6 linked regions of the Oryctolagus cuniculus genome follow. The protein of the gene in region 1 interacts with the protein of each later gene in a pairwise test. Links are inferred from orthologs where the notes say so. Each region holds a gene or a part of one and is shown in the gene's direction. Other genes may lie near its edges. The genes, in order: SEC22A, TMEM79, ERLIN1, DTX2, SFTPC and STX4.

Region 1 (4,101 bases):
CCTACCTTAACAATTTGCTTTCCTGTATAGTACACTATGTGATTACTCTAAAATGTATTAATCCTATAAATATTATTATACATGTATCTATATATTCACCAAAATACATGTGTAATAGTATTTATAGGATTAATAGATTTATAGGATTGATACATGTATTTTGGTGAACATATAAATAGATATTGTTGAATATGTCTAGTGGAAGTTGCTGGGTTAACTCACTCCAACAACCATGAAATTTACATAGTTAGGTCAGATCTTCTGAACTATAGACTTACCTATCAAAAAACTCCATCTATAGCGTCTGAAATTTAACATATGCAGCAACGAATGGCTTCTTCATCCGTTTGGTTACTTAAGGAGTCATCCTGACTGCTTGGTGCTTCCCGGCAAACCAATCTGTAAGTTCTTTATTTTCCGCCTTTGATTTATACATATCTTGAAATTATCCATCTCGCTGTCTCTACTGCCGTTACCCCAGTTCAAGCCACTGTCATCGCTGGCCTTCACAACTGCCTCCAAACTGGCCTTCTAGCACCCCTTGTCCTCTTCCAATCTGTTCTCCACAAACAGCCTCAGTGAGCTTTTAAATATGTAAATCAGATCCCACAGAACAGTCTTCACTAGCTGCCTTTTGACCCCAGGATGCCTTCCAGTCGCAGTCTGAAATCTATCAAGTGGCCAGCAAGAGCCAGCGCGGTCTGCCCTGGCCTCATCTCTGCCCAGCTGTCCTTGCTCTTTGCACTCCTCCACACCGACTTCTTGTCAGTTCCCAGAACACTCCAAGTTCCTTCATGCCCCGAGAGCCTAGCCATCACGTTTCCCTTGACCTGGAACATTCTTTGAGGCCCGTTAACAGGCCTGGGAGTTTAAAAGGCACTTATTCAGAGGCCTTTTCCATGACTGTCCAAAATAACCCATCACAGCACCCACCACTTTCCCTTTTATAGTACTGATCACATGTAATAATTATGACAACGATTTATGCTAATGTAGCTTAATCTTATAATGGTACTTTAAATCCCATCCAGCGTTAGGTTCACTCCTGTAACCGGATGCCTAACACAATGCTGTGCGCGGTAAACACTCGGGAAATGCTTGGTTAACAATGTGTGACCATGACAAGACTTGAAGAGGCCAAGCCACGGGGCCAGCACCTGGCACTGCCCTTCTTGTGTGTGGCGGCAGACAGAGGCTGGTTCCTCCCTCCCTCCCTCCCTCCCTTCCCCAGAGGGGGCTTTTCCCCCTGCCCCTTGGATAACAGTTTGCTGTGGGACCGCCTGCGAGAGACAATCCGGCAGCAGGCGGGAGCGATTAGCCTAATTTCTCGGGGACAACAGAGCTCTGTCCCCAGAGGACGACGGGCTCCCCCGGCGCAGGTGCGTGGGAAACTGCCAGTCTGTCCTGGAGGAGGCGGGTCAGTGAGTTCTTCCCACAGAACCCGATTGGCCGGGGCGGGCCGAGGGAACGGGGCGGGGCTTGATTCCGCAGGCGCCGGCCACGTTGGACGCGAGGCAGCCCCGCTGAAAGGCCACTCCTGGGCCCCACAATGCACTGCGTGGCGCGTCACTCGGAGCGGCGGGTCGCGGCTCGGCAGGTACGGCCCGGCCCCTCTCAGTCTGTTTCTTCCCTGCGCGGGGTCGCTCGCTCCCCTCTTTGGCCGATCGCACCTTTGGCTCTCCCGCCTCGGCCCTCTTCGTCGGGACCACATGCCTACGCCTGGGCAGGAACCATGCCCGGGGCGTGGGGTGGAGTCGGGTGGTGGTGGTGCGGCCGCGGAGCCCTGGAGCGGCCGGCGTTTGGGGCCATGGACCCCTTGGATCGAGTGGTCTGCGGGGCCGCGCGGGCGGCGGTTGTCCCCCGGCCGACCTGCTTCGGGAGCGGGGAGATGCGGGTGGGGATAGGAGGAGAAGAGAGAGTCCTGGGCTGCCCGCGGGCGGCGGCGGGGATTCCCTGGCGCCCAGATGTCATAAACACGGTGGTCCGGCACTTAGGCCGTTTGGGGCAGGCGAGAGAACTGGAGGTGGCATTAACTATTTGTTTTAGGCAGGATGACTTACTTTGCGTTTTGTGGGGATTGGGTGAATATTGAGCCCGGAGCTTTGTCTGCGCTGGCACACAGGAAGCTTGAGGCCCTGTTGATAGCCCTTGGGGAATGGCGAGGCAGAAAGGAGACCCGGACAATTGGCTCCACAAGTCGGGGAGATCGAAGGAGACGGCCGATCCCCAGCTGGCTGGAGTCTCTTGCCAGGGAAAGCCCCTTTAGACTTGTGCCGCTGTAATTTTTGGGTCATCCACCTGGGGCAGATGCAAGGCTTCAGACTGGAGATACTGGGGTCGCAGCTGACAGGTGGCTCCGCACCACATTCCATGTTACTGCTACTTGCGTGTTAAGACTGTAAGGAAGTAGGCAGTCCCTGTAGCAGTGCCTACAAATCCCAGTGTATTCAGCTGCACTGCTTGAATCGGAAACCTGTGAGCATGCCCTGTGTTAATGGGACACCTGCGCGTTTCCTACTTTGAGAGCTATCACACCCATTTAGTATGTGACTGATTAAAATCTAAATGTCTTATGAAAGAAAAACGGGTTCTCTCAGGGGCGCCAGTGGCCTTCCTCTGCGTGTATTTGAGTAAGAGTTTGCATATTTGGGGAGGTACTGTCTCATAGAATTCTTAGAGTTAGGCCTGGGTTAAATCCCTGCCTTCTCACTTACTTGTTTAGGAATTGAATAAGTTGCTTAAACTTTGTGGCTTTTAATTTCCTGAAAAGCAAAATGGAATTCATATCTACCTCACAGGTTATTGGAAGGCTTAAATGAGGTAATGTGTATGGTATATACACATTATATAATGTGTGTTGCCATAGTGATGATCAATAAAAAGAATAACAGATACTTAGTAGAGCACTTTGAGTGTGTTTCCATAAGTGTTTCAGGATCTTTACATAATCCTATGTGGTAGATGCTACTGGTTTCTTGAAACCAACCCTAGGAGGTAGATAATATTAGTTGCCACACTTCACAGATGAGGAGATTGAGGTATGCAAGGTCAGAGCTGCCCTCGGTTACATGGCTGGCACATGGTGGAGCCAAGATTTAACCCAGGCAGTCTGGCTCCTGAATCCGACCTTTTAACTCTCATACTATACCGCCTCTTACAGTGTAAACTGTTACTATTCAAAATGAGTGACCAGATAGTTTCTGTGTCACAGGTTCCTGCCCCTGATTGGTTTTGGGAGACTGATACGGCACAGTGACATAGAAATATAAGACACTTGGGTTTAAGTACCGGCTCTGCCACATACTTGTATGGTGCTAGCAGTGTGACACTGAGAAAATGAGCCTCAGTCTCCTCATTTGTAAAGTGGAGGTTATACCTACCTGCCTTGAACTGTGGCTCTAGACAGATGTTGGAGATGGACGTGTCTGAACCCGTGTTGGCCGCCCTGTTCCTAGGGGTGGGCGTGATCTGTTTTGGAGCCCGAGGGCTTGTGCATGCTCTGCACTGCAAGCACCCCTGCTAGGAATTAGACTTCTCGTGAGGCTGGGGGCACAGGCAAAGCAAAATGAGCACTGGCTGTGCTTGGTACCTGTTTCTCTTCCTGTCTCAGTCTACCCACATGTCCCTAAACTAACTCCTCCCCTTTCCCACAGACCTCAGCACCTTTAATAAAATAATGCGTTCCAAATTCCTGTTTCTCACATTTTGGTTCTGAAACATACGTATGATAACCTGATCAGCCGGTGAACATCTAAAAAATTAATAATTCTCCAGAAACTTTCTCATGTGTTTCTAAAACAAAAAAGTTCTTCATGTTGTGTTTTTTTTTTTTTGTTAAAAGATTTATTTATTTATTAGAAAGGCAGAGTTACAGAGAGTCAGAGGAAGAGAGAGAGAGGTCTTCCATCTGATGGTTCACTCCCCAAATGGCCGCAACAGCCAGAGTAGCACTGATCAGAAGCCAGGAGCCAGGAGCTTCTTCAGGTCTCCCAAGCAGGTGCAGGAGCTCAAGGACTTGTGCCATCCTCCACTGCTTTCCCAGACCATAGCAGAGAGCTGGATTGGAAGAGGAGGAGCCGGGTCTCGAACCGGCACCCATAT
Region 2 (3,946 bases), on another chromosome or scaffold:
TTGGTGTAAAGTGCAGATTAAGGAGCAGGGCAGCTACCACTTCATTCCCAGACTCCTCGGGGGCTGAGGGTAAAGGTTCTGCAAGACTGAAGTTGGGGTTAAAGAGGTGCATGTTGGGCTTGTGTGCAAGTCCCTGGTCGGTCCTCAGTGCTCGTGGCTCTCCTTTGATTGGTTAGCGATGCCACCTTCTCTTGGGAATTCCAGTCACTCAGGTGGTAGTTACTTCTTGCTTGGAGCCAGGGTTCCTAGGAAAACTCTCAAGACTGAACACCAAGATGTTATCTGCAGAGGCCATAAATGACCCCATGAGTCTTTTGATCCCGGACCCTGAATTGCTGCACCAATTCAGTGAACTTGATTTGTAATAAGGGCAGTTAGGAAAGGAGCCTGGAAGACCACGGTAGGCAGGCTCTGATGATGCTGACGGCGTGCAGCATCTGCACCAGGGGCACCGCCCAGGGGCTTGGGTTCCGTCTGCTCACACTGGAAAGAGCACCGATGACACTGGGACTATGTTCTCTTAACTTGAAACCTAATCTGAAAAGAAAGGCGTTCTGGTGCCTGTGCACACCGTGCGATGGGAACGTGAACTGCCCTCTCTGTCACGGTGCTCCGGGCTCCAGCCACCAGCCTTCCTTCTGTCCCTGACACAGCCAAGTCCTTCCCACTTGCTGTTCCGCTTGGAACACTCGTCATCCTGATTCTCCAGCTCCTGATTCTCAGCTCCAGTGTCATCTTATCACAGAAGTTTCTTCTGCTAAGAAAGCAGGCTTCCCTATCACCTGTTACCCTTAAAGAAGGGCAGAGCTCTTGACGTCACTTGTCTTCCTGTGTCTGTCTGTACCTCGTACAGAGCCTAGCTAATAACAGGTACTCAATAAATATTCTTTGAGTGAGTAAATGTACACAATCCAACTCTTTTCTGGCTTTACCCAATCCACTCCAAGCACCGTTTGGTGCACAAAGCTACTCTTCTTCCTCTGCTTTCCTGACCAGGGCGCCTCACACATCCCGGGTGCCTGGAACACAAACTCACCTCTATGCGTGGCTGCACCCCCGCCACGCTTGGAAAGGACAACGTCCTCCTCTAAAGCTTTTTCTGTCGGCACATTCAGCAGGGCGGGGCCTGCCCCTTTAATCTGGGCCCCACCTGCTCTGGTCAGACAGGTTTGGAGACACAGGTAAAGGGAGGGAGACAGAGAAATACTTGCAGAGCCAGCACGGAGCTGGGCAGTTGCTTCCTGGACTGGACGCTGGGGACCCTCCACCTCTCTCCCGACAGAAAGTAAGGGGGTGTCATGGCTCCAAATGGCGTGGCGAGGGGAGGGCCCTTGGGGAGGGAAGGAAGGGGAGTCGGCCCCGTCCAGAAGCAGTGAGATAGAGGGTGGCAGTGAGGGGTGGTAGGCAGGAGGGAAGGCGTGGGAATCAGCCATGATTCAACCCCAAAGAACGGACAGACCCGGGGGCTGCCGGCATGAGGTGGGATGGTGAGAAGATTGGAGGCTGGCCACACGTTCAGATCGGAGACGCAAGAACTGGTGCTGGCAACTGCCAGCTCCTTGGGACAGATGGGTCGACAGTGACTCCTACTTGCCGGGGGAGTCCCCAGCAGGGTCTGCAGGGAGAAGGGCAGATGGGCTGGGGGAGGGGCTGTGGTGTTGTCCACAGGAAGATCTCCGGGGAGAAAGAAGCTGTTGGCAAAATTCTAGACACCTTCTCTGCTTCCCATTCCTGAATTATGGTATCCGGGACTCCGGGGGTTTTGGTGGAAGTGGGTAGGAGGCATGGGTGGGGGCTGACCGAGGCCAGAGCTGCTGGAGCCTGTGCCCCGACTCACCCTCGCGTGCCCGGATGCATCTGAAGATGTTGAAAGCGTGCCTCCACTTCAGCTCCCTCCCACCTCCCTCGGTTTCAACACCAACCTCTGAACCATGTTCTCCCCGAGGTCCCAGACGGGGCCAGAGGAGCCCCGGAAGTTCCAGTTCTGTGGCCCCGTCCTAGGGGCCTGAGAGAGCTTTTGCCCTCCTCCCTCCAGGATGACGGGACCTTAGGCTGGACCCCAGAACTGAAGCCCCAGCATGACAGAGCCTGAGACCCTGGCCCTGCTGGAAGTGAAGAGGCCTGAGGCCCCGGAGAAGAGCCCACCCCAGGACCTGGTTCCCAATGGCCGGCAGCCAGAAGGGGGAGGCGGGGCCGAGTCCCCTGAAGGCGGGTCCCTCCAAGTGGAGTCTTCAGCTGGCTCTGCCTCAGCCAGAGAGGCCACCGAGGATGGCCTGGACAGCACAGTGAGCGAGGCCGCCACCTTGCCCTGGGGCACCGACCCCCAGCCCACTGCGCCCTTCCCAGACCCTCCCGGCTGGAGGGACGTAGAGTCAGAGCCGCTCGAGCCCGAGCTGCCCGTCAGGCCTGAGGGGCTGCCTGAGGATGATGCCAACCTGCTGCCTGCCAAGGCTGCCCGGGCCTTCGTGCCCATCGACCTGCAGTGCATCGAGCGGCGGCCCCAGGAGGACCTCATCGTGCGCTGCGAGGCGGGCGAGGGCGAGCGTCGGTCCTTCCTGCCCCCCCGGCTCCCCCACATTGAGCCCCCCGAGTGCAAGTGGGCCGAGGCCGTGGTGAGGCCCCCCAGCCGCTCCTGCGGGAGCTGCGGAAGCTGCGGAGGCCGTGAGGGGCTGAGGGCTGTGGCCTCGGTGGGAGCCGCCCTCGTCCTCTTCCCGTGCCTGCTGTACGGAGCCTACGCCTTCCTGCCCTTCGACGCCCCACGGCTGCCCACCCTGAGCTCCCGCCTGGTCTACACGCTGCGCTGCGGGGTCTTTGCCACCTTCCCCATCGTGCTGGGTGAGTCTGGGGCCCCTGTGACAAGAAAGGGGACACCTGGAGAGTGGACTTCAGAAGGGCAGGGCCTGCTGGGGCTTGGGGAGCAGGTGAGCGCCCCTCGTTCAGCCTGGTCCTGCCAGGGCCTCCCCCACCCCCACTCTGTGTGCCTGCCTCCTGCCTGTTTTGACCCCGTGTGTTTCCTGACCCCACCCAGGGCTCCTGGTGTACGGGCTGAGCCTGTTGTGCTTTTCTGCCCTACGGCCCTTTGGAGAGCCCCGGCGGGAGGTGGAGATCCACCGGAGATACGTGGCCCAGTCGGTCCAGCTCTTCATCCTGTACTTCTTCAACCTGGCCGTGCTCTCCACCTACCTGCCCCAGGACACCCTCAAGCTGCTCCCTCTGCTCACTGGCCTCTTCGCCGTCTCTCGGTAAGTGGGGTGGGGGAAGGAGGGTGATGTGCCAGATCCAGGCACCCGAATATCTGGAGAGCGGCTTTTCTGGGTTCTGGAGTGGCCCGCGTGTGCCCTGGAGAGATGAGTTCACTTACTCTCCTGCACCGGACTCACCTGGGGGCAGGTGGGCAGCTCCTGTGTCTGCCGGGAGGTAGGAAGCTGATTTCAGAGATGCGACATGCCAGCATGGAACTGGAAGGCTTTTAAGTGTCACAGAAATCAGCGGGCCCATTACAGCCACTCCTCTGTAGTACTCTGGTCATGCAGTTTTTTTGGCTTCTAGCTGAATGCCCGCTGTGATAAGTGCTCCATTCTTTATAAAGCGATATGTTTTGGTTTTTGAAATCCCTAATTGTTAGAACTTTTTTTTTTTATAATGTGTTAGAAATTTCTATCCTGACTCTGATCCCCAGGACAAACACTTCTCAGTTCTCCCCACTCTAACACTCTGCTCCCCACCCGCCATCTCTACTTTGCTAAGTGATCACGGTCCCTTCATTGTCCAGGCCCCTCCCTCTGGGCAGGAGACGCTTCCCTGGCCAAGGGTCCTCTTCATACAGACGAGGCCACCTTAGCTCTCACAGCGGAATTATTCTCCTCTCACTCAGTTTGCAGTTGCCTGAAATCCTCGGGGAGTATTTTCATGTGAATTTCTGAACCCAGATGCGCTCTTTCCATTT
Region 3 (4,013 bases), on another chromosome or scaffold:
AATTTGGAAGTTATTATAGATAAGTTTGGAACAGGAGCCCTGACATTCCTATGAAATAAAAATCAGATGAATGATACAGATAAGTGAATTTATTAAAGGAAGTGGGTAAAGTGATCTGGGAACGACTGCTTTAATGAGGAACTGAATTTTGATTATCTTTCATTTCACTGCTACTGCCGGTATAAGCTCAGGCCTGCAGTTTCTTAACTATTTGGCTTCCCTGCCTTCAGTCTATCTTCACAGCCATTTTGCAGATTCCTAAAGCACTGTGTTCCCATGTCTGCTCCAGATTAGAAGCCCCTCCAACCTTACTCAGCCCTGTCCAATTGTGGCCTCCCACCACTAGCCTTCGAAAGCATAAGCCATTTCTGACCAACCTACACTAACATGCGGGGCTTACTTTCCTTGTATTAATCTATCTCATGCCAGACTCGACCCTTTTCCTTTGCCCTTTTTCATTTTGGGTAATATATGTACATGGTGCAAAACTTGAAAACAACAGAATATGCAGCGAAAGTTCTTCCTGCCCCCTAGACATCCAGTGCCCACATCAGCAGGGGGAAAAAAGTGCATTCCCGACTTTAAAAATAATCCGGTCCTATCCTAGCCCACCAAACCACTGCTTTCCATCCCACAGGCTTTCAGACAACTCAAGTGCTTATGGTTGGCTCCCTTTGGGCTTCCAAGAGGAGCGCCGCGCCCCTCACTGCGCTCGCCCACTCTTCTTGTCGCCGGGACGGCCACGCTAAAGCCCTAACTGGTCAGCATTCGTGCACAACTATTCTCTCTCTCTCTCACACCGACAAAAACCAAGGAAAAAACTTGAATGAGTGATGCAGGTAGACCGAACAGTTTCCTCGTCCTTTTACAGCGAACAAGTCTGGTTGCCCCAGAAGTGCACGGTCCGCGCCAGGAGCACGTGTTGCTGCACAGTAGGGTTCGGAATACGTCCAAAAAAAAAAAAAAAAGACACAAAAGGAACAGCTACCGCATTGAGAGTGGGGCAGCGGGTTCTCTGCACAAAAGCAAACCGACTGGTTTCTTGTCGGACAGGCCTTTCCTATCCCCGCTTCCCCCAGAGTACCGCTTTTCCTCACCAGCTCACCAGCAGTGCACACAGGAGGAAGCGTCCCACCTCCTAACTGGAGTGCAAGGGTGGCTGGAGTATTTTGGCCCCCTCGCTTCCCGTTCCTAGTCGCAGGCGGGGCACTGCGTGCCTGTGCGTTTTAGCGCAGGCGCAGTGCAGGGAGAGTGGGCGGGGCCGGCTGTTGGCGGCGGTTGGCGCGGCCCGGGAGGCGGCTGCACGTGCGGGTGGGGGCGATGCGTCACTGATCGGTGAGGCGCGGCCGAGGGGGTCTCCCCTTCCGGAGCCTAGGGCTGGGCGCGTTCTCGGCGCCTTCTACAGACTGAGCGGCGGTGGGGAGGGGGCGTCGCGACGCTCACCGAGCAGGAGCGGCCCGCGGGCCACCTCGGGCGGAGGGGCTGGCGAGGGGAAAGCGGGCTGTGAGAGGAAGGAGAAATGCGGGGAAAAGGGCGCCGCACTCGCCCGCGCAGCCTGTGAGGGGGCGCCGGCTCCCCGGAGGAGGGAGGGGGGAGTGGGCCTGTCACTCATGGGGCTGAGGGTCGTTGCCTCGCTCGCCTAGGAGCGACAAGGATGAATATGACTCAAGCCCGGGTGCTGGTGGCTGCGGTGGTGGGGCTGGTGGCTGTCCTCCTCTACGCCTCCATCCACAAGATCGAGGAGGGACACCTGGCTGTCTACTACAGGTGAGCGGCGCGTGCAGTCAGCTCGGGTTCTAGACGGGTGGACGGGGCACGTCCCCAGCCGCGTCCGGGCGAGCACTGCCCAGTCCTGGACGTACTTTTCGGCCCAGCGGTCGGGAAAGCATGGTGTGAGGAGGGGATAATGCAGGCTTTGGGGAGCACTCTACAAGTGTCGGTCCGTTTTACTTCTGTGTTCGTTTTGTGCAGAGATTAAGACTCCTTGTGGGTATTCCTGGTACACAGTGAACTCGATGATTTGTAGAAAGATGAAAAAGGAAAGAAGTAGTCACTCTACAAGTAACTGAAGAAGTGACTAAATCGTTTATAGTGCATAGAACTGTGCGGGCTTTTAGTTTGCTGCCATACGTGCTTTTAGAAAACGTGGTCCTGCGTATGGTTGTTTCCTAAGATTCGTTTCATCTGGTTATGTCTTTTTTTTTTTTTTTAAGATTTATCTATTCATTTGAAGGCAATTACAGAGGCAGAGGCAGAGAGAGAGAGGTCTTCCATCCGCTGGTTCACTCCAGTTGGCCACTATGGCCACTATGGTTGGAGCTGTGCCGATCTGAAGCCAGGAGCTTCTTCCGGGTCTCCCATGAGGGTGCAGAGGCCAAAGGTCTTGGGCCATCTTCTGCTGTCCCAGGCCACAGCAGAGAGCGGGATCGGAAGTAGAGCAGTCAGGACTCGAACCGGCGTCCATATGGGATACTGGCATGCCAGGCGGCGGCTTTACCCACTATGCCACAGCACCAGCCCCTGGTTATGTCTTTTTTTTTTTTTTTTTTTTTTTTTTTTGACAGGCAGAGTGGACAGTGAGAGAGAGAGACAGAGAGAAAGGTCTTCCTTTTGCCGTTGGTTCACCCTCCAATGGCCGCCGCTGCAGCCGGCGCACCGCGCTGATCCTGGCAGGAGCCAGGAGCCAGGTGCTTTTCCTGGTCTCCCATGGGGTGCAGGGCCCAAGCACCTGGGCCATCCTCCACTGCACTCCCTGGCCATAGCAGAGAGCTGGCCTGGAAGAGGGGCGACCGGGACAGAATCCGGCGCCCCAACCGGGACTAGAACCCGGTGTGCCGGCGCCGCAAGGTGGAGGATTAGCCTATTGAGCCACGGCGCCGGCCAGCCCCTGGTTATGTCTTAAAAGACCATAATGACCATGGCGTTGGTTAATTCCTGGACCTCAGAGGACAGAAGTGAGACACAGATGAGCCACTTACTTCATCCTTTCAACTGGAAGAGAGGAACGGAGTGGGATATGCTACTTGCTCTTTAGTTGAGTTGGTGTACTGTTTTTTTTTTTCTTTCAACATAGTTGACACCAGATCCTTCTGTTACTGACTGTGAAGAGGGAGGACGGTTGGTTGAGAAATTGGAATAGTGGTGTATTCAAAAAGAGCTTCAACTTTTTGATTGTTTGCATCATCTCCCCTAAAAATGTTATTTCTACATTTAGCTCCCTCCTGAGTCATAGAAAAAGTGCAGATTTAGTGGTATGTTTTAGCAGGGAGCACTCCAATGTAAGACGTGACGGATGAATTCAGATTTCCTTCCACTTTAGCATTGTTTTTCAGACATTAAAACCAAGGAAAGAACATTTCAAGGTATGAATTAGTGTTTGGTCTCAAATAGCTCATCATAAGTTTTGGACTTCTTTGCAAGCTCATTTATGTTTACCATACAGGTAGCTGAGTTCTGTTCGTTATGTAACATAGGACTTCTTTATTTGCTCCCCAGATGTCTCCTTTTTATAATTGCCAGTATATGCTTTCATAGTTCCTTTATTGCAGAATTTGATGAACAAATCCATACCTATTCATTATTTTTTTTAAGTATAGCAAGGGGTTCTAGATTTTTTTTTTAAAGATTTATTTATTTGAAAAGCAGTTACAGAGAGGCAGAGAGAGAGAAAGAGACAGACAGTCTTCCATCTGCTGGTTCACTCCCCAGATGGCCTCAATGGCTGAAGCCAGGAGCCAGGAGCTTCCGCTGGGTTTCCCATGCAGGTGCAGGGCCCAAGCACTTGGGCCATCCTCCACTGCTTTCCCAGGCCATAGCAGAGAGCTGGATCAGAAGTGGAGCAGCCAGGACTCGAACTGGCACCCATATGGGATGCTGGCTCTGCAGGCAGCAGATTTACCTGCTCCACCACAGTGCCGGCCCCCAATACCTATTTATAAACTTAATCCTTTCACCCCACATCTTTCCATGCTAATTTTTTGTTGTTTTTGCTCAGAATTTTGTGTATCAATATT
Region 4 (3,500 bases), on another chromosome or scaffold:
GGCGTTTCTGGGCCCCGTGCCCCTGCAACAGAAGCTTCTCCTTCCTTTGTCTTTTGGGGTTTCAGACCCCCTGGGATATTGGGCAGTTGAAAACCTCGGCTCTGTCTTGGAGCCAGCCTTTGGCAGTTCCTGCTCCAGCAGGGGAACAGACTGAAACCCACAAGGGCAGTGCTGCTGGGTGAGTGGAGACACAGGCGGCTGCGAGGACGGGGACTTGTACGGGGGGAGCATGGGACTGGGAGGTGCGAGAGGGCTCAGAGTGTTCTAGAACTTGCTGGATTCCCATGGGGTGGCCTGAGGTCCTGAGTTTAGAGGGCTTGGTGTGAGTGGGGACGGGACCTGTTGTGGAGAGGCCTGAACGTGGCAGGTTCCCCCATCTGAGGGGGCTGCACACCTTCTCGTAAAGCTTGAGCTGGCGTTGTGGGTGTGCGGAGTTGTGTGTGTTGACTCACCTGGGGATGTGTGGACATGCCGGGGCACAGCCCGTGGGCGATGATACGGAGGCCCCGGCCTCCTCGGGAGCAGGCGGCTCTGCCACCCTCCTGATTTGTGCCTTGATGCGGTGGCAGACTGATTGCAGGCCGTGAGCTCAGCCAGCCTGCCCGAGGGCGCCCGGGGCCAGTCCTCCCCGGCAGGATCTGGGCTCTCAGCAGAGGCCTTGGCGGCTCAGTACAGGCCTGGCAGCACAGCTGTGTTCCTGGGCCTGACGCGGCCTGTGTTCTCGGATGTGTGCCGCGGCTTCAGTGCTGCCCTCGCAGTCAGCCTACCCCAGACGTGGGTGGGAGGGCACTGGGGGAAAGGGGTGGAAGCGAGCGGGAGCAGCTGCTGGGTGCCGGTGCTTTGTATGCATACCTCTCTCTCTCAGTCCCGTGAAGAGCACTTGGGTAAATGCTGGTGTCTCCGCTTTCCAAGGAGGAGGAAGCCAGCTTAGAGAGCTTGAAGGTGTACAGGGAGTGTGCGGCGTCTCAGTGCCAGGGCCCGTGCAGGGGAGGTGGCCTTGCTGCAGTGCAGCCGAAGGGGACAGCAGCAGAGGCACAGCAGAGGGATGTGGGTGGGTGGCCGGGAAAGCTTTCTGAGTGACACAGGTTGGGCCCAAGGAGTGCACAGGATTTGCAGGGGAGGCGGGTGGAGCGCCTCGAGGAAAAGGTCTCGGGGCCAGGGGGCCCTGCAGATGGCAGACAGCCAGTCGGTAAGGCCTGGGTGGGGAGGCCGAGGCGGGGTGGGAGTTTTCCTGTCTGCCTGGGGCTTCCTTCTGCTCGGGGATGCTTCCAGGGTGGCCAGCGACACAGAGGAGCCAGAATCTGTCTTCGTCCCCACCTACGAGAAACATGCTTCAAGTGCCAGCTTTGCCACAGCCCCCTGGTCCTGTGTGAGACCCAGTGTTTCTTTATCTGCAGCATAGTGAGTGTTAATCCACATTGCTCAGATAAACCTGGGTTGGAAACCGTCAGCTCGGTACACAGGGATGAGGGGTGATCGTGGCTGTACCGCACAAGGATTTGGGTTGACTGAGAAATAGGTCCGGCTCAAGAGGATAGACTGAGTGATCGGGTCAGAGGGAGGGCAGTGGTAGCGAGAGAGGAGCTGGCCTCAGTCTTAGCGGGGCACGCACTCTGCCGCGTCTGAGCACGTGCGGAGCTGGGAGGAGGGACTGACTGGATTCTTCCTGACTGCCAGGGCAGAGCTGCAGGAGCAGGTGCTCCGTTCCTGGTGCCCTCGAGGTACTGGGGAGAGCCGCTGCGGAATGGGCTGACTGCCCCCAGCCCGACTCGGGCAGAGCTCGTGGTGGGCATTGGTAACTGCTCTTCTCTCTGGTTTCCAGGTCTGCTCCAGGCGCTGGGCCATGAACCCGAGATTCCATCCCAGAGCGCTCTGAAGCCGTTTGGGCAAGCAGAGGAGTCCGAGGGAAGATGGCCATGGCCCCAGGCCCTTCCCTGGCCCAAGTGTACGCCAGCCCCGTGGCAGTGGCTGTGTGGGAATGGCAGGACGGGCTGGGCTCCTGGCACCCCTACAGCGCCGCTGTCTGCAGCTACATCGAGCAGCAGTTTGTCCAGCAGAAGGGCCAACGCTTTGGGCTGGGAAGCCTGGCCCACAGCATCCCCCTGGGCCAGGCCGACCCCTCGCTGGCCCCTTACATCATCGACCTTCCCAACTGGACCCAGTTCCGCCAGGACACTGGTAAGACACCTCTGCCCCGCTGCACATCTGAGCACGTGCTCTGGCCCAGGTGCCCCGCGTGCGAGGTGTTGTGTGTTACCCAGGCACTGCGTTGTCCTTGCCATGAGATGGACGTGGCAGGGAGCTGGGTGCTCTGAGTGGGAGCGGCTGCCCAGCCCGCTGAGATGGGCCTCAGGCAGTAGGGGAGCTCCCAGCCCTCCTCCCGTTGTCTCCCAAACCAGGAGCGCCTGCCTCGCCCTGCAGTCACTGGGGGCTCTTTTAAAGGCAAGCGGCAGAGGGGAAAGGTAGATCTTCATCCACCTATTCACTTCCTAGCAACAACTGGGCCTGGGCCGTGCAGAAACCAGGAGCGGGCAGCCTTCCTGCCGCGTGGGCAGCAGGGGCCTGGGCACTTGGGCTACCACTTGTGGCCTCTCGTCACGCGCATTACTAGGAAGCTGGCTACGTAGAGTGCACGACACTGGAAGCAGGCACTTCAGTGTGGGATGTGGGTCCCATGTGGCATCTTTTTTTTTTTTTTTTTTTTTAAGATTTATTTATCTGAAAGTCAGAGTTACACACAGAGAGAGGTCTTCCATCTGCTGGTTCACGCCCCAGCTGGCCATAATGGCTGGAGCTGTGCTGATCCGAAGCCAGGAGCTTCTTCCGGGTCTCCCATGTGGGTGCAGGGGCCCAAGCACTTGGGCCATCTTCCACTGCTTTCCCAGGCCATAGCAGAGAGCTGGATCGTAAGTGGAGCAGTTGGGATTCGAACCAGCGCCTATCTGGGATGCCAGCACTGCAGGCGGCAGCTTTACCTGCTATTCCACAGCGCCAGCACCCCCCATGGCATCTTAACCTGCTGCACCATGACATCCACTCCTTTCTGATTTTTAATCTTTTTTAAAAAAGATTTTCTTATTTGAAAGGCAGGGTAACAGAGAAAGAGACATCAAGAAACAGGTCTTCCATCCTCTGAGTTACTTCCCAGCTGGCAGCAACAGCCAGGACTGGGCCAGGCCGGAGCCGGGAGCCAGGAGCTCCATCCAGCTCTCCATGTGGGTGGCAGTGACCTAAGTGCTTGGGCCATCTTCTGCTACCTCCCGAGCACATCAGTAGGAAGCCGGGTTGGAAGTAGGGTAGCCTGGACTTGAACCAGCCACAGAGCTGCCCCTCTCCTCCTATCCACTGGTTCTCAGTTGGAGTGATTTTGACCCGCGGATGTCTGGAGACATTTCTGGTTGTGAAATTTCTGGTTCTGATACGGGATGTAGACACCCCAACGGCGTTCTTTAATAATAGCCACACCAGATTCCTGCCCTGGGTTTGGTCTTGGTTAACCA
Region 5 (4,147 bases), on another chromosome or scaffold:
TGAGGCTGAGCCGAGAGGAGGATGTTGGTCTCTTCCTGCTCCCTGTGCCCCCTCCTCCTCCTCTGTCCTCTCACCCATCGGGGGATCCTCTGTGGCTGCCGGAGGCTTTGGCAAATATTTAAAGGGGCGTTTGGGAGTGAGGAAGGCGGTGAGAGCAAACACTTCCTTTCCTCTCTCCTCCTGGGGCTGCTCAGGGGCCCTCAGAGCAGAGGTCGTGCTGTTGTGCAACCTGGAGAGGAGAGAGGGTCCTTGTGCCAGGGCTGGAGAGTGGGGAGGGTCCAGCTGGTGGCCTGAAGGCAGGGTCGTGGTGTGAGTGAGGCAGGGGACAGGGCTAGGAGTGATACGCTCAAGGAGAGGAGGCCGGGAGAGGGAGGTGCTGGGCTCTGAGTTGACACCCTCATGGCAGCTCCAAGGTGAAGGGGCTTCCCAGCTCACTTGGCTCCCAGAGGGAAGGGGAGCCCAGGCGGAAAGGTACCATCCCCCGCGAAGCCAGCGGCCGATCTGAGAGTGAGCCACGGCCACGGCTTTGGGGAAGGACGTAGGAGAGGGAGAATGGCGGCTGGGTTTGGGGTGGTGGTGACGAGGTCAGAAAGGGGACAGAGTGGGGTGAGTAGCCCTCTGGAATGCCCTTGGTACCAGAGAATATGAAATGCAGAGTGCAGCCGGATGTTGGCGATGATCGGCAGTGTGGAGCAAGCAGGCACAGCTAAGAACAGGGAGACTGGGAGGCGGCCAGTAACCACACCCAGCCCTGTGCAAGGCCGTCGGGGCTGAGGGAGCCGCGTCTGCCATCTAGCAAAGAGTGGAGCAGTGCACATGAGTAAGAGTTTTCCACTGGCGGGCACAGAGTTTCCAAACAGAAAAGAATGACTGGGGGCTAGCCTGAGGTCAGGCAGGCCACGTGTGAGGCGGAATGCATAGAGCGGGAATCCGGCCCTCCCAGAGAAGTGCACACCCAGGAGCCCTCCTGCGCCCCCACCCTAAATCCTTTCAGGGTCTGCTGATGTTGGCTCCTCCGCCCCCTACCCCGAACTCACCCCTAGAAATTCTGCTGGCAGGTGTGGCGGGCGGTCAGACCCTTGGCCGCCTGAGTGGTTCCGCCTGGCAGCAGAACAAGGGTTGCGAGGGCAGGTGCCAGCAAGACAGGCAGGCCGGCCAGGAGACACCCATGGTGAGCGCTGCCGATGGCCGAGGGGCAAGTTTGCTCGGCACACCCAGGCTCGCTGCCGTGCGGGAAGAGGGAGCTCACGTGCCAGGGCCAAGGGCCCTTGGGGGCACTTGTAGCTGGCTTATCAGGGCCTTGGCTCTGGAGGGCCAGGAACAAACAGGCTTCAAAGTCAAGGACTTGGCTGGCAGACAGGGGGCCCGGTCCTTCACCTCTGCCCTCTCTCCGCACGAGCACATATAAAGCCCTGGTCATACCCAGGAGGCGAGGAGAGGCGGGCACCTGTGGCAAGATGGACATGGGCAGCAAAGAGGCCTTGATGGAGAGCCCACCGGTGAGTGCATGGGAGCGCGCGTGTGTGCAGGTGTGTGTGGGACCCTGCCTCCTCCACCCTCCTAGTTAAGATGGGGACTCTTAAGGCCACTGAGACAGAGTCCCTGGGGGAGACAATAATTCCAGTATAAGGAGGTGACGGCCATCACAGGGACTGGTCAGTGGAGTGGGCCGGGAGGCCAGCGTCGTGGCACAGCAGGCTGAGGCATCACCTGCAACACCACCATCCCATATGGGCGCAGGTTCAAGTCTCGGCTGTTCCGCTTCTGATCCAGCTCCCTGCTAATGTGCCTGGGAGAGCAGTGGAGGATGGCCCGAGTACTTGTGTCCCTGCCACCCATGTGAGAGATCTGGATGGAGTTCCAGGCTTCTGGCTTTGGCCTGGATCAGCCCAGGGCCACTGGGGAATGAACCAATGGATGGGAGATCTCTATCTATCTATCAATCTGAAATTCTGCCTTTCAAACAAATAAATAAAGCATTAAACACAAATCTAAGGTCTCTTTTATTAAAAAAATGGAGAGGGTAGTGGAGGGAGGAGCCACTGAGTACTCAGGGGGTTGCACGAAGCTTCCAGAGAGAAGGCAGGTAGAGCCAGAAAATACAGAGGAGCTGTCCAGGTAGAGCAGGAGGGCTTTGCAGGAAGGTGGGGGAGTGTGGATGAAGGCACGGCAGTGTAGGCGAGCCTGGGCCATCTGTGGAACACAGGGTCTGGCTATGGCTGGGTGCCAGGGAATTCGGAGAAATAGCAGGAGACGAGCCCTGGCCAAACAGGCCACCCTGGGTCCCTGCACACGAGGCCTTGGGTTTGCTAGAATCCAGGTCACTTCTTCCAGGGAGCCTCCTCTGGTCGTCACAGCCCTCCCCTGCACATGGGTGGCATTGGCGTTGGCTGTCCATCCCTCTGGGTGCATGTGTGTGAGTGGGTGTGTGCACGTGTGGTGTTGGCTCTGAGTGTGTCTGTGTGAGCACGTGTGTGTGGCGTTGGCTGTCCATCCCTCTGGGTGCATGTGTGTGAGTGGGTGTGTGCACGTGTGGTGTTGGCTCTGAGTGTGTCTGTGTGAGCACGTGTGTGTGGCTTTGGCTGTCCATCCCTCTGGGTGCATGTGTGTGAGTGGGTGTGTGCACGTGTGGTGTTGGCTCTGAGTGTGTCTGTGTGAGCACGTGTGTGTGGCTTTGGCTGTCTATCCCTCTGAGTGTGTGTGTGTGCGTCTGTGTGGCTTTGGTGGTCCAACCTTCTGAGTGTGCGTGTGGCCGAGGTGTCCAGCTGGCACGGGTCTCACTGCTGCCCCCTGCCGGCAGGACTACTCAGCAGCTCCCCGGGGCCGCTTCGGCATCCCCTGCTGCCCAGTGCACCTCAAACGTCTTCTCATCGTGGTCGTCGTGGTGGTCCTCGTGGTCGTGGTGATTGTGGGGGCCCTGCTCATGGGGCTCCACATGAGCCAGAAACACACCGAGATGGTGAGCAGGCGCGGGGCTGGGGTGAGCAGCGGGTGGGTGAGGGTGGGGGCAAGCCGCCCCGGAGCTGGGTGGGCTGGGCCAGGGGAATGCCAGGGTGCAGTGTGGAGGGAGAGGGGCGGAGATGGGGGCGGGCCAACCTGGCCTGGGCTTCCACTCGGGCCCCTGAGCTCTCTCTGCAGAGAAAGAAACTGCATCTGGGTAAAGAGAGGGGAGGGGGCCATGGGCACTGGAGTGGGGGACAGGAGTGCCAGGAACATCTCCCCCAGGTCCTAGAGATGAGCATCGGGGCGCCGGAGGTCCAGCAGCGCCTGGCACTGAGCGAGTGGGCGGGCACCACGGCCACTTTCCCCATCGGCTCCACCGGCATTGTCACCTGCGACTACCAGCGGGTAGGCTGCCTGCACCCCTAGGGCCACAGGCTGTGCCGCTTCATCACATCCGCCTCTCCCCCCTCTCCCTGGGTGGGGGGTAGAGGGAAGGCCTGAAACCCAGATTCCAACAGGACTCCTGTGTCCAACCCAGGGGCTGGGTGAGCGCAGGGGTAGGCAGTGAGCGAGGCAGGGGGCCTCTCGACTGACCTGTAGCATGTCACACCCAGCTCCTGATCGCCTATAAGCCAGCCCCGGGAACCTGCTGCTACCTCATGAAGATGGCTCCAGACAGCATCCCCAGTCTGGAGGCTCTGGCTAGAAAATTCCAGGTGGGTGTGTGGGTGAGGGGTGGGGGCTGTCTGCCTCCCAGGCCACACTTGAGATGATGAAGGTACTTGTCACCTGTAAGGCATGCCCAAGTGAGTGCCCACCTCTCCATCCTCACCTGCACCTGCCTCCCCTACCTGTTCCCCCTCCTCCAAGTGCATGGCCTCAGCTGAGCCCACGCAGCCCTGCCTAAGGTCCCACCAATAAGGGCTCCAGGTGTGACAGGCTCTGGGTCCCCAGACTCCAAGTTGGTATTCTTCCCAGGCCAACCCTGCAGAGCCTCCCACTCAGCGGGGCCAGGACAAGGGGCCAGCCGCAGGCCCGGCGTCCTCCGGAGGAGAGCTGGCCTTCCTGGGCGCGGCCGTGAGCACCCTGTGTGGGGAGGTGCCTCTCATCTACATCTAGGACTCAGGTGAGCAGGTGGAGGAGGGCTTGGGCCACCGGCCACCTGCGGCGGACCAGGCGCTGGGGACCCAGCCAGGCTCACTCC
Region 6 (3,324 bases), on another chromosome or scaffold:
GCGCTGGCTGGCATTTGGCTGGTCTGCCTTCAGTGATGACTGTGCGCCAGCCCTGAGCTGTTCAGATAGAGCAGTGAACCTGGGAATAAGCAAAGGGCGTGAGGACGGAGGAAGCGTTAAGGAGAAAAGAGCCAGGCGCGGGAGAGGGATGGAGAGGGTTGCGGGAGGCAAGGTAGCACCTTAAGGGTGGGAGCGGTGAGTGTTGTACAGGAGGGAGGGCTCAGCAGAAGAGGGGGAAGTCCGAAAGGGGACAGGGACAGGGACAGATCACCTAAGGCCACCTGGGCTCTCGTAGTGGTCTTGCCTTTTCCTCGGACAAATGGGGACGCCTTCAAGGTCATCCCAAGGTGGCCGATGCCGCAGGCAGCTTGGAGAAGCTCCTGTCGTGTGCGCAGTGGGATGCCCAGGCCCAGGTGGGGCGGGGGTCCTTCCCGGGGTGCCCAGCCTGTGCTCTCTCCACCCTCAGCATGGGGTGCTGTCGCAGCAATTCGTGGAACTCATCAACAAGTGCAACTCGATGCAGTCCGAATACCGGGAGAAGAACGTGGAGCGGATTCGGAGGCAACTCAAGATCAGTGAGTTGCAGACGCCCAGTCCACAGGGTCAGGTCACCCCCTGCCCCAGCTCTGAGCCTGGCCTCTCCCTTCACAGCCAATGCTGGGGCGGTGTCCGACGAGGAACTGGAGCAGATGCTGGACAGCGGGCAGAGCGAAGTGTTTGTGTCCAATGTGAGTGGCCATCACCCTCGTCCCTGATGAAGGGGCTGCCCCAGAGAAACCCCCTCTGGCCTGCCGCTGGTGTCCCACCCCGCGCTGCCGTGACCTGTCCGCTCATACCCACTCTCCCTCAGATCCTAAAGGACACCCAGGTGACCCGGCAGGCCCTCAATGAGATCTCCGCCCGGCACAGTGAGATCCAGCAGCTCGAACGCAGCATCCGTGAGCTCCATGACATCTTCACTTTCCTGGCTACCGAGGTGGAAATGCAGGTGAGCCCACGCAGCTTCCCCGGGATGGGAGACGCTGCTCAGGCGGAAGCCCTGGCCGGCCGTGACCGCCAGCCCCCCTCCGCCTCTCAGCCGCTGTCCCCAAGGCTTTGTACCCAGCCCTGGCTTTGCTGCGCTACTGCAGCTCCTAGGGGAGCCGGCGTCTGTGGTGCTGTAGCCAGTGCCACTTCTGCCGCTGGGAGGCAGGGGAGGGCATCTCATTCAGGAGGAGCAGCAGGACCTGCAGGCTGGTGGTGCCAGGAGGAGCTGGGGGAGGGGCGGCTGCACAGCAGCCGGGAGACAGGCCTGGAAGAATGGCTGAATTCAGGGGCCAGAGTTCACCATCTGAAGAAAAAGGTATGAACCCGTGGAGCACACGGCCACAAGCCGCCCCTGCACATACGGGGGGTGCTTGCAAGAAGGCATGGAAAATGGAATTGAGAAAGTTTCTCTGGGGTGCAAAAAAAAAATCTTGAAATCATGTATAGGAGGGATCTTCAAAAAGTGACTGGCCAATGCACGTTAGGAGAAATCTGTGCTTGGATTCCAAATTTGGGGCACCAAAATAAACTCTTATTTTCTTTAAAAAAAAAAAAGAGAGATTTATTTATTTATTTGCGAGGCAAAGACAGAGAGAGGGAGAGAGAGAGAGAGAGGTCTTCCATATGCTGGTTCACTCCCCAAATGGCCGCAACGGCTGGAGCAGAGCTGATCCGGAGCCAGGAGCCAGGAGCTTCTTCCAGGTCTCCCACGCAGGTGCAGGGGCCCAAGCACTTGAGCCTCTTCTGCTTTCCCAGGCCACAGCAGAGAGCTGGATTGGAAGCGGAGCAGCCGGGACTTGGAACCGGTGCCCATATGGCATGCCAGAGCTTCAGGCCAGGGCGTTGACCCGCTGCGCCACAGCACTGGATCCCCGAAAACAAGCTCTTAATTTGCCTTCTGCAGGCGTTTGGATGTCACCTTATGGGGGCAAGGGAAGCGGGGAGATAGGACCACGTGATAGAAGGGATCCCGGAACCATCCCAAGATTCTGAGCCTGGGTCACTTCTGGAGCTGCCTCTGTTGGGGGCAGTTTTTGTTTTGTTTCCGTGGGCCTGGGAGATGCGTCAGTCATTGCCGGGTGGCATGGGCAAAGGCGCAGCTGGCCTCCCCGTCCCCAGCCCCGCTGTGCCCAGGCATCGCTCCCTCTCTGAGCCACCTCATCCCGCGAGCAGGGGGAGATGATCAACCGGATCGAGAAGAACATCCTGAGCTCCGCGGACTACGTGGAACGCGGGCAGGAGCACGTCAAGATCGCCCTGGAGAACCAGAAGAAAGCGAGGAAGGTGAGCCCCCCGCCCCGCCCCGGGCGCAGGCGCCCCACTCGGTCGTCCCTGACCCTCTTGTCTCCCACAGAAGAAAGTCCTCATTGCCATCTGTGTGTCCGTCACGGTCCTCATCCTGGCCGTCATCATCGGCGTGACCATAGCGGTGGGCTAGAGTTGTACATTTTCGGTGAGACCTCCTGGCCCCTCCCCCGCCCCGCCCCCTCCCCAGCCTTCCCTCCTCCCCTCAGACCCTCCTCCCCCTCCTTCCCTTGCAGGCACCGGAAGCTCCAGGGACCCAGGTCCTGGCCTTGTCTCCCTGCAGCACAGAGCCCCCAGTGAGGACCCCCACTCCACCCGGCGCCCTCGGGCCCCTGTACAGCGGTGGCAGGCGGTTCTTCTTGGGTCAGCAGCTGCTCGTCCGTGGGGCCCCCCCTCCCCTTCGAGCTACAGTGCCTGGGCGAGGGAGGGTCTGCCTTGTCCTGTTTGACTGGGACACATGGTTTTGTAAAAAATTAAAAAGAGAGAAAAACGAGCGAGCGAGCTTGGATTGGAGACCCTTGTTGCTGGCGAGCTGGCCCAGCCTCTCCCCACCTGCTGGCCACCCCTGGGGCCAGGCCAGGCCCAGACAGGCCCAGGTCAGGCTGCCCTAGGTGCCGTGCCCACAGCGAGGTACTCCTGCTTTTTCCCTGGGGAAGGACCGCTGAGCACCTAGCCCTGAAGCCATGAGGAGGAGCCAGGTATTTCAAGAAGGAAGGGAAGGGGCTGGCAGGCAGAGGCCCCAGCCCCAGGTCTCGTGATCAGAAGAAATCACTGCTGTTTATGGAAGAGTTCAGCTAACAGAGCCGGTGAGCCCGGGTTAGCGCACCTGGAGGCGCAGGTAGAGGCAGAGGCACCTGAGCCCTGGTTTCCTTGTTGTTGTTGTGTTTTTTTTTTTTTTTTTTAAGATTTATTTATTTATTTGAAAGGCAGAGTTACACAGAGAGAGGAGAGGCAGAGAGAGTTTTCCATCCGCTGGTTCACTCTAATTGGCTG

What was found.
Region 2: the proteins of SEC22A (region 1) and TMEM79 interact in binary tests that used the Homo sapiens proteins (3 or more experiments, as listed by UniProt). The two-hybrid records come from large-scale screens. The link is inferred for Oryctolagus cuniculus from reciprocal best matches to the Homo sapiens genes SEC22A and TMEM79.
Region 3: the proteins of SEC22A (region 1) and ERLIN1 interact in binary tests that used the Homo sapiens proteins (3 or more experiments, as listed by UniProt). The two-hybrid records come from large-scale screens. The link is inferred for Oryctolagus cuniculus from reciprocal best matches to the Homo sapiens genes SEC22A and ERLIN1.
Region 4: the proteins of SEC22A (region 1) and DTX2 interact in binary tests that used the Homo sapiens proteins (3 or more experiments, as listed by UniProt). The two-hybrid records come from large-scale screens. The link is inferred for Oryctolagus cuniculus from reciprocal best matches to the Homo sapiens genes SEC22A and DTX2.
Region 5: the proteins of SEC22A (region 1) and SFTPC interact in binary tests that used the Homo sapiens proteins (3 or more experiments, as listed by UniProt). The two-hybrid records come from large-scale screens. The link is inferred for Oryctolagus cuniculus from reciprocal best matches to the Homo sapiens genes SEC22A and SFTPC.
Region 6: the proteins of SEC22A (region 1) and STX4 interact in binary tests that used the Homo sapiens proteins (3 or more experiments, as listed by UniProt). The two-hybrid records come from large-scale screens. The link is inferred for Oryctolagus cuniculus from reciprocal best matches to the Homo sapiens genes SEC22A and STX4.

The regions. Positions count from the first base shown.
Region 1 is NC_091435.1:79,369,840-79,373,940, forward strand, and holds the start of SEC22A (vesicle-trafficking protein SEC22a), read left to right. Parts: upstream 1-1,301; 5' UTR 1,302-1,379; intron 1,380-1,445; exon of another isoform or gene 1,446-1,597; intron 1,598-4,101. UniProt on the Homo sapiens protein: May be involved in vesicle transport between the ER and the Golgi complex.
Region 2 is NC_091438.1:42,426,566-42,430,511, reverse strand, and holds the start of TMEM79 (transmembrane protein 79), read left to right. Parts: upstream 1-1,146; 5' UTR 1,147-1,285; intron 1,286-2,035; 5' UTR 2,036-2,078; coding exon 2,079-2,835; intron 2,836-3,028; coding exon 3,029-3,242; intron 3,243-3,946.
Region 3 is NC_091446.1:29,928,956-29,932,968, forward strand, and holds the start of ERLIN1 (erlin-1), read left to right. Parts: upstream 1-1,213; 5' UTR 1,214-1,335; intron 1,336-1,643; 5' UTR 1,644-1,654; coding exon 1,655-1,767; intron 1,768-4,013. UniProt on the Homo sapiens protein: Component of the ERLIN1/ERLIN2 complex which mediates the endoplasmic reticulum-associated degradation (ERAD) of inositol 1,4,5-trisphosphate receptors (IP3Rs).
Region 4 is NC_091450.1:44,152,187-44,155,686, reverse strand, and holds part of DTX2 (probable E3 ubiquitin-protein ligase DTX2), read left to right. Parts: intron 1-1,822; 5' UTR 1,823-1,910; coding exon 1,911-2,178; intron 2,179-3,500. UniProt on the Homo sapiens protein: Regulator of Notch signaling, a signaling pathway involved in cell-cell communications that regulates a broad spectrum of cell-fate determinations.
Region 5 is NC_091439.1:1,147,297-1,151,443, reverse strand, and holds the start of SFTPC (surfactant protein C), read left to right. Parts: upstream 1-1,347; 5' UTR 1,348-1,457; coding exon 1,458-1,499; intron 1,500-2,800; coding exon 2,801-2,959; intron 2,960-3,225; coding exon 3,226-3,348; intron 3,349-3,557; coding exon 3,558-3,659; intron 3,660-3,921; coding exon 3,922-4,062; 3' UTR 4,063-4,069; intron 4,070-4,147. UniProt on the Homo sapiens protein: Pulmonary surfactant associated proteins promote alveolar stability by lowering the surface tension at the air-liquid interface in the peripheral air spaces.
Region 6 is NC_091450.1:6,128,866-6,132,189, reverse strand, and holds the end of STX4 (syntaxin-4), read left to right. Parts: intron 1-466; coding exon 467-575; intron 576-651; coding exon 652-728; intron 729-850; coding exon 851-988; intron 989-2,199; coding exon 2,200-2,310; intron 2,311-2,380; coding exon 2,381-2,464; 3' UTR 2,465-2,479; intron 2,480-2,567; 3' UTR 2,568-2,824; downstream 2,825-3,324. UniProt on the Homo sapiens protein: Plasma membrane t-SNARE that mediates docking of transport vesicles. Necessary for the translocation of SLC2A4 from intracellular vesicles to the plasma membrane.